Macaca fascicularis: one gene and its partner. Each later gene encodes a partner of the first gene's protein in a complex. Links are inferred from orthologs where the notes say so. Each region holds a gene or a part of one and is shown on either strand. Other genes may lie near its edges.

The links.
Region 2: the proteins of PTEN (region 1) and MAST2 are in contact, whole or in part, in an NMR structure (PDB 2KYL), measured with the Homo sapiens proteins. The link is inferred for Macaca fascicularis from reciprocal best matches to the Homo sapiens genes PTEN and MAST2. Residues at the interface, in NP_000305.3 of Homo sapiens: Pro391, Phe392, Asp393, Glu394, Asp395, Gln396, His397, Thr398, Gln399, Ile400, Thr401, Lys402, Val403; in NP_055927.2 of Homo sapiens: Lys1112, Lys1113, Tyr1114, Gly1115, Phe1116, Thr1117, Leu1118, Arg1119, Ala1120, Ile1121, Arg1122, Val1123, Tyr1124, Met1136, Trp1138, Glu1141, His1170, Val1174, Ile1177, Leu1178, Leu1191.

The regions. Positions count from the first base shown.
Region 1 is NC_088383.1:96,734,538-96,738,641, reverse strand, and holds the start of PTEN (phosphatidylinositol 3,4,5-trisphosphate 3-phosphatase and dual-specificity protein phosphatase PTEN), read right to left. Parts: upstream 2,801-4,104; 5' UTR 1,956-2,800; coding exon 1,877-1,955; intron 1-1,876. Other genes in the region: KLLN (killin), read left to right, coding at 3,931-4,104. UniProt on the Homo sapiens protein: Dual-specificity protein phosphatase, dephosphorylating tyrosine-, serine- and threonine-phosphorylated proteins.
Region 2 is NC_088375.1:188,661,993-188,665,492, forward strand, and holds part of MAST2 (microtubule-associated serine/threonine-protein kinase 2), read right to left. Parts: intron 2,792-3,500; coding exon 2,659-2,791; intron 1,743-2,658; coding exon 1,577-1,742; intron 1,068-1,576; coding exon 966-1,067; intron 383-965; coding exon 260-382; intron 84-259; coding exon 1-83. UniProt on the Homo sapiens protein: Appears to link the dystrophin/utrophin network with microtubule filaments via the syntrophins. Phosphorylation of DMD or UTRN may modulate their affinities for associated proteins. Functions in a multi-protein complex in spermatid maturation.

The DNA of each region.
Region 1 (4,104 bases):
CTTCTGGGCAAGCGGGTTTAGCCTTAGTAACATTTTTATCTTCCAGTTTAGCCTTAGTAACATTTTCAATTAATGCCAACTTCAAAATTTGCAAATACTGTTTTAAAATAATATTACTGACTTAACAGAAAACTAAATTTTGGGAGGCTACTTCTTCAGTAAGTTTTATATTCATTTCAAAACAAAAACTTGGGCAAAATTAACTGTGCACATGTATATGCAGCTAACATAATCCAAGGGAATAAAACCTCTCCCGATATAAACGTTGTCTTAAAAAAAAATCTTCCCCACAATTTTTAGCAGGACATATAGACACTGCAGTGTCACGCTACCTTTAGACAAAATGCAACTGATACTTGCTAAGAAATAATTTTTATTAAAAATACTTTGCTAGTACTTATGCAATTACATAATTTTAACTAAATATTGTCCACTGCCACAATTCGCATTACCAAACTCATATTACCAAATTTTAGGCCTTGATAGAGCCTAAATGCTTCAGTCACTTCAGACCAATAACTTCTGTTTTCACATACCTTATACACTGGCCTACCAATAGCTCTCAATTCCTGTCAATACTTTCCATTCTGCAAAATGAGGGCCCCATCCCCATCCCTAATCAAAACCAGTCTGTTGTACCTGAAACTGCAAAGATTCATGCTTTTCGATGACCACTAACTTTTGAAGCCCGAAGGCCTAACTTTTAGACAACTAAAGCTATACACTGTTAAAATTCTTGGGCTTCTGTCTTATTCAACAAGCTGACTCAGTAAATTTAATACACTGTATGAAAAAAGCTAACATACCTACAATCTAAAGCTGGAGTAAACTTCTCTTGCCAGCATTTCTGGATATTAGCTGGTAAAATTCACTTGACATTCTACACAAATCAGTGAAATTAACAGTACCAAAAGATGTCAGAGAACCTGAAATCTAAAAACGGTGAGCAGCAATTCTGGCATCACAATACTTAAATTTCAAGCATGAACTGAAGTTTTATCTTTGCAATCTTCACTTGCCACACACAATACCCTTGAACCTACACATTGTCATCTGGGATCAAAAACTACTCAATATCCATTCCATGTTTATGACAAGAGCACTGAACATTAAACGCTACTGAAGTGCAAATTTCAAGCCCTATCCTACATCATCCCATAGGGAGAGAAAAAGGTAAATATAACAAAGATCTAGTAAGAACGCCTTATAAGGTATATTATGGCATTATTGATTTCAAACTACAAAACTTCTAAATACAGTCCAAAGTTGTAACTTAAGTGTAAAACATTAACAAAACTACTTTTTGCACTCAATGTGCACCATATATACTGAAAATTATTCTGCTTCTAAAGTTATGCAAATCAGTCATATTTTAAAAGAATCTATCAATGCAACCCAGGAAACTAAAACAATCACTGCAAGATTCTGATGCAATATGCATACGTGCAACACTAATTTTCATTTTATTCTGATCTAAACCCTTGATCTAGGGCCTAAGCCAAGATTTAATCGAAATATGCTCAACCTCAAAGCGTCTACTTTTTTGTTCATTTAGGAGACCGGATTACCGAGCTCTCTAATCCACTAACAGCATACTGTATTCTGTATTAACGGACAATAGCCCTCAGGAAGAGACCGTATAGACAGCCTAAGCAAGCAATCGGTGCCTCGACACTTGCAACCAGGCAAGAGTTCTGTCTAGCCGAACACACCCTAGGTTGAATACAAGAAAAGAAACACAAAATATATGACCTAGCAACCCGACCAGGGTTAAATGTTATAGTCGCCCAAACTAGGGACATTTTCGCATCCGTCTACTCCCACGTTCTAAGAGAGTGACAGAAAGGCAAAGAGGAGCAGCCGCAGAAATGGATACAGGTCAAGTCTAAGTCGAATCCATCCTCTTGATATCTCCTTTTGTTTCTGCTAACGATCTCTTTGATGATGGCTGTCATGTCTGGGAGCCTGTGGCTGAAGAAAAAGGAGGAGAGAGATGGCAGAAGCTGCTGGTGGCGGGGCTTCTTCTGCAGGATGGAAATGGCTCTGGACTTGGCGGTAGCTGATGCCCCTCGCTCTGCCGCCGCTTGGCTCTGGACCGCAGCCGGGTAATGGCTGCTGCGGCGGCTGCTGGATGGTTGCAGCGACTGGGCCTGCTTCTCCTCAGCAGCCAGAGGCCTGGCAGCAGCGGCAGCGGAATGGGGAGAAGACGAATAATCCTCGGAACGGCTGCCTCCTCCGGCGGCCTCCGGAGCCCGGGCCACGGGGGGTGCGGCGGCGGCGGAGGGGAGGTTTAAAACCGGCCCGGGTCCCTGGATGTGCCGCCGCCGCCGCCGCCGTGTTGGAGGCAGTAGAAGGGGAGAGACCAACTCTCCGGCGTTCCCAGCCCTGGAAATGGTGACAGGCGACTCAGACCCCCTCCCTGGAGCTGCAGCCGCCGCGGCCGCCGCGGCCGCCGCTTCTCCCCCCCGCTCCAGGAGCGGGAGGTGCCGCCGCCGCCGCCGCGCCTCAGCCGGCTCCCGCCCGAGCCCACGGCTTCCACCTTCCCCTTCAAGAGAAGCCGAGGAAGCGGCTGCACGGTTAGAAAAGACGAAGAGGAGGCGAGAAACGCCGCCGCTGCCGCCGCCGCAGGCCGGCCGGCTCCCCGAGGGCGCTGCCCCCGCGGCTGCTCACAGGCGCTGAGAGGGGCTCCGGGCCGCGGCCGCCGCCGTCTCTCATCTCCCTCGCCTGAGCCCGGCCTCGCCTCACAGCGGCTCAACTCTCAAACTTCCATCATGGCTGCAGCTTCCGAGAGGAGAGAACTGAGCGCAGCCGCGTCCCGGCGCCCGAGCGCGTATCCTGCCGCAGTGCATAAAGAGTCCCGCCACATCACCGCCCGCCGGCCTGCCCGCCCCCTCCGCCGCCGCGCCGGGAGCCCGGGCTCCTCGGGAGACCGAGGGGAGGCGGGAGCTGAACGAGAGGCGGACTGGACCGTGCCGGGCGAGGGGAGGGCAGGGCAGGGGGCGGTAGGCGGGGACAGAAGCGGTAGCTCCGGGTGCGAGCGCAAAGCCCCCAAGCCGTAGGCTCTACTGAGCATGCCCAGTGTGGCTGCCTAGAGCTCGCTCGGGCCGGTTCCGAGCCGCCAGCCTGCAACTGCACTTGCCGCGGCTGCTTTTGCAGCAGCGCGAGGCGAGGATAACGAGCTAAGCCTCGGCCTCTGCCCAGAAACCCAGCCGGAGGCAGGGTAGGCTGTTGCGGGGCGGGGGTGGAGGACTGATGATGAAAGCTGAGATGGGTGCGTTGAGCAGTGTCACTGACTCGAGTCTCAGGTTACCTGTGCACAGGTGGAAAGGACCAGGTGACCACGCTGGTCAGTATACAGGGAAATGCAGGGACGGTCCTTGCAAGGGTAATACCCTCCCCCCTGCCTCTGCCCCTGGATTTCCGCGGCGTGGACTGCATTCGCTCTTTTGCATCGCTGTCGATCACAGTCGTTCGCAGAGATTTGACTGTAGCAGCCTTTGCCTAGAGATTCCTCCTTTCCCCAACCCTGTGTCCTCAGGATGTCAGTCTTAGCACAAAGAGCAACCTGCTATTGTGTTTCCAGCGTGCATCACCTCATCCGGCTCCCTTGTAGCGCCCCACCTCTCGCTTCCCCGGTAACTCGGCTTGTTTGCCCTAAAAATGAAAGCTCTCAGCCGAGCGTGCTGAACGTGAACACATCGCCGTTGAATTTCCAGAGCCCAAAGGGCACCTATCTAAATGAACTGAAAGAGGATCCCCGTGAGTAGGACGCACCCCGCAGCCCTCTCCTGCGCCCGCTCCGGTGCCCCTAGGAGACTAGAGCATCTCTCCCCCTCGGGCTCCAAGTCAGTTCGCCGCGTCGGACTCAAGCTCGGTTCTTAGAGACCACCTAGCCCCGCCCCCCCTTGGCCTCCGTGAAAACCCGGCGGGATGGATCGCCCGGGGCCAGGCTCCACGCGCCCCGGCCAGACCATGCACGTTCGGGGTTACCAGGTTGAGTGGAAAGTACGGAACGGTAGGAAGCTGCAGCCCAGCGAGTGGGCGGGGCAAGGAGACCTAGGAGGGTTCAAAAGGGGGTGGAAGGATACACGGGCCACAGTCGGA
Region 2 (3,500 bases), on another chromosome or scaffold:
GAACTGGCGGATCTCAAGGCAGCCATCTTCACTCACTTCTTCCTCATCCTCCGAGTCCATGTGGTGGTATCGCTCTGAGCGGGCTGGGCCAGACATAAAGGACACTTTCCTTCAGAGCCCTGCTGGTGGCCTCCTTGTGACCCCATTAGATTTCAGCAGAGCCCTGAGAAGTTGCTCCCAATGCCAAGTTCAGTGTGCACAGGTGTTTCTAGGCAAACAGGTAGGACCCATACTCCACTCCACACATTGGCGGCCTTACTGTCAAAATAGCTAGTATCGTCCTCTGACTCCAGCTGAGGAATAAATTCAGCTTTCTGGCGGAGAAGTCCTGTCCAGTCCAGACCAGTAAAGAATGGGTGCTGCTTCACCTCATAGGCACTGCCTGTGGAAAGGGAGGGCATGGGCAAGGGGGAAGGATGAGCCGCATGGAGTCCAGGTCAGCAAACCTCGTAAGAAGCCAGACCTTGAGAAGCTATACTCAGGGGGTCAGCTCAAGCATCTTTCCTTCCCTGCCTACAGGGAGCAGGGCAGAGTTTCAGGATCCAGAGGGGCTGCCCATAACTGAAGCCTGAACCTCCAGGGTACATGGACTCAGCCTCCCTTACCCCTTTTCTTTTTTTTTTTTTTTTTTTTTGAGACGGAGTCTCGCTCTGTCACCCAGGCTGGAGTGCAGTGGCCGGATCTCAGCTCACTGCAAGCTCTGCCTCCTGGGTTCATGCCACTCTCCTGCCTCAGCCTCCCGAGTAGCTGGGACTACAGGCGCCCGCCACCTCGCCCGGCTAGTTTTTTGTATTTTTTAGTAGAGACGGGGTTTCACCGTGTTAGCCAGGATGGTCTCGATCTCCTGACCTCGTGATCCGCCCGTCTCGGCCTCCCAAAGTGCTAGGATTACAGGCTTGAGCCACCGCGCCCGGCCCCTTACCCCTTTTCTAAGTAGTGGGAAAAGTTAGCAGGGCCTGCCCTACCTGTGCCCAGTCTCTCCAGAGGGTTCTGGTGGAGCAGTTTGGAGGTGAGGTCCTGGGCGTCTGGGGGCAGTGCATCATCACCCTCAGGCCACACAATCTCATCTGAAGTCATCAGGGGTGAGAGGGAGAGGAGAAATTGTGGGTAGAGTGGAGAGATGTAGAAGAGGTCCCAGGACAATGTAAGGAAAGGAGTCAAAAAGGACCCAGCCCGGAGTCCCTGAATGCCTTGCCTGGGACCCCAGTCTTTAATTTTTTTAGGTTCCTAGACCATGGCTTGATCTATGATCCATGGTGGGCACTGCAAAGCTCTAGCTCACCCTGCTTTTATACTCCACAAAACATACACAGACATACCCCTCACACTTACGGGATGTGCACATACACAGAGAGGAACACACAGGTATATATGGGAGACACGTGAGGCCCTAGGGGACACAGTGTCCACATGTATGTACATGCAGAAACACAGAGACACCCACCCCCAAAGCAGCAGACATCACAAACACATGGTGAGTTCAGAACAAGAGCTCACAGGCCTCATGAGCTGCCTGCATACATCATAGTTGTGAATCCAGACTGTATCCCCACTGGGCCAGCAGGATAGTACCTACCACTGATCACTTGGCCAAAGAGCTCCTCCGGAGTGTCTCCAAAAAAAGGGACGCAGCCCACCAGGAACTCATACAGGATAATGCCCATGGCCCACCAGTCCACCGGCTTCCCATAGCCCTGGCGCAGGATCACCTCAGGCGCAATGTATTCTGGGGTCCCGCATACCTGGGCACAGAAAAGCCAGGCTGGCTCAGCCTCCTGAGGCTGCTCACTGGCATGACAGCGGGAGACGCGGGATGCTCCCACCTCGAACAGAAGAGTCTCTGAATGAAGACTCAGCCCACCTTAGTTAATGAACAAAATCAACAGAAGCCCCAGGGAACAAGAGTCGGAACTGTCAGCAGGTATTTGCTAATTAACAAAACTGTCTCATTCTAGCCCAGAACTACCATCCCTTAAGCCCTCAACACCCACCTCTGGCATCTGATCCCACAATTGGCCTCTGCACTCCAGCCTCTAACAGAACAGACCCTACTGGTTACGTAAGTACTACAGGGACTGGTGAATAGTCACAACCTGAAATGTCAAACCAGGGAACATCCAGAGGCTGCCTCTCAGGACACTGGGCCACAGCCCAATGGAAATTCAAACCTGTGTTCCAAGAACCTCAGGCTCCAGGAGAGCCTTGTCCTTGACTCAGGCTGGGAGATTCGGGACTGACCTCATATGAAACTGTGCTAACAGTTACATGACCTGTTTTCTCCAAACCCTGAGAAGGAAGATGACTTTGGATTTTATATCCATATGATTTTCATGGCTCATCCTGTTTTCCAAATGTGCTACCTATCTCAATGCCTCTCTGGAACCCAAAGGTAGAAAAGATAGGGGTTCCCAATCTTAACATCTAGCTACAAGGTAGGCATATGGCCCCAAGGCCTTATTCAAGGGCCTGGAATCTATGTATGTGTATACAAATGTAGAGATGGGCTCTCACTATGTTGCCGAGGCTGGTCTTGAACTCCTGGCCTCAAGCGATCCTCCTGCCTCAGCCTCCCAAAGGGTTGGAATTACGGGCATGAGCCACTGTGCCAGGACAAGGGCCCAGAATCTACCCTCCAATGTATCAACTATCCTTCCTTACCTGCTTGTCCAGGAATTCCCGGGCATCCTTTTCAATGTGACCCTCATACAAGTTCGTTGTCAGACTCATGAGACCAATTTTGGACAGTCCAAAGTCCGTGAGCTTGATGTGCCCCATTGATGTAATTAGGAGGCTGGGAGACGGGAGAAATAAAATTATGAAGTTATTCCTGGTTTTCTGAGAGCACTGATTTTAGTATATGCCCAATTTCCCCACTCAGGCTTCCATGGGGGTACTGTGAGGCACAAGCCGGGCAGCTTCAGCAGGGGGACAGGCAGGTGTGGACACGTAAATCGCTCTGGCTGTGTGAGTGCTGCATTCTGCACAAGCAACGAACCTGCCTTTTGCCCATTCCCACAACTCCATTTCTGTTCACGGCCCTAACTGTATTCTACATTGGGGGCAGGAGTCATTCAGTTGAACAACAGAGTTTCTTCTACAGAGCTGGGATCAGCCTTATTCTAAGGCTGGAGCCATTCCTAGTCCCCTCTCCCGATCTGAGTGGCCCACAATACTTCTGTTTCAGGGAGAGGGGCAGGGGGCACATAATTTTGTTCCATGTCCATGGCTGGTTTTGGGAGGAGGGTTAGTTGGGAGAAACTAGAACTAAGATTCCTTTATATATTCTGCCTGAGTCACTCATTTTGTGCTGAAGGCTTTACCCTGGCACCCTTTTATTCTAATGACTCCCCAAATAGTACCTCTGGCTGTGACTTCCTTTTTGAGCTCCAGGCCCACCCAACTGCCCATATGTCTTACAGGCAACACAAACTCAATCTGTCTAAAACAAAGTCGTGCCACCCAACTGGTTCTCCTCCTCAGTGAAAAACAGTAATTTCGGT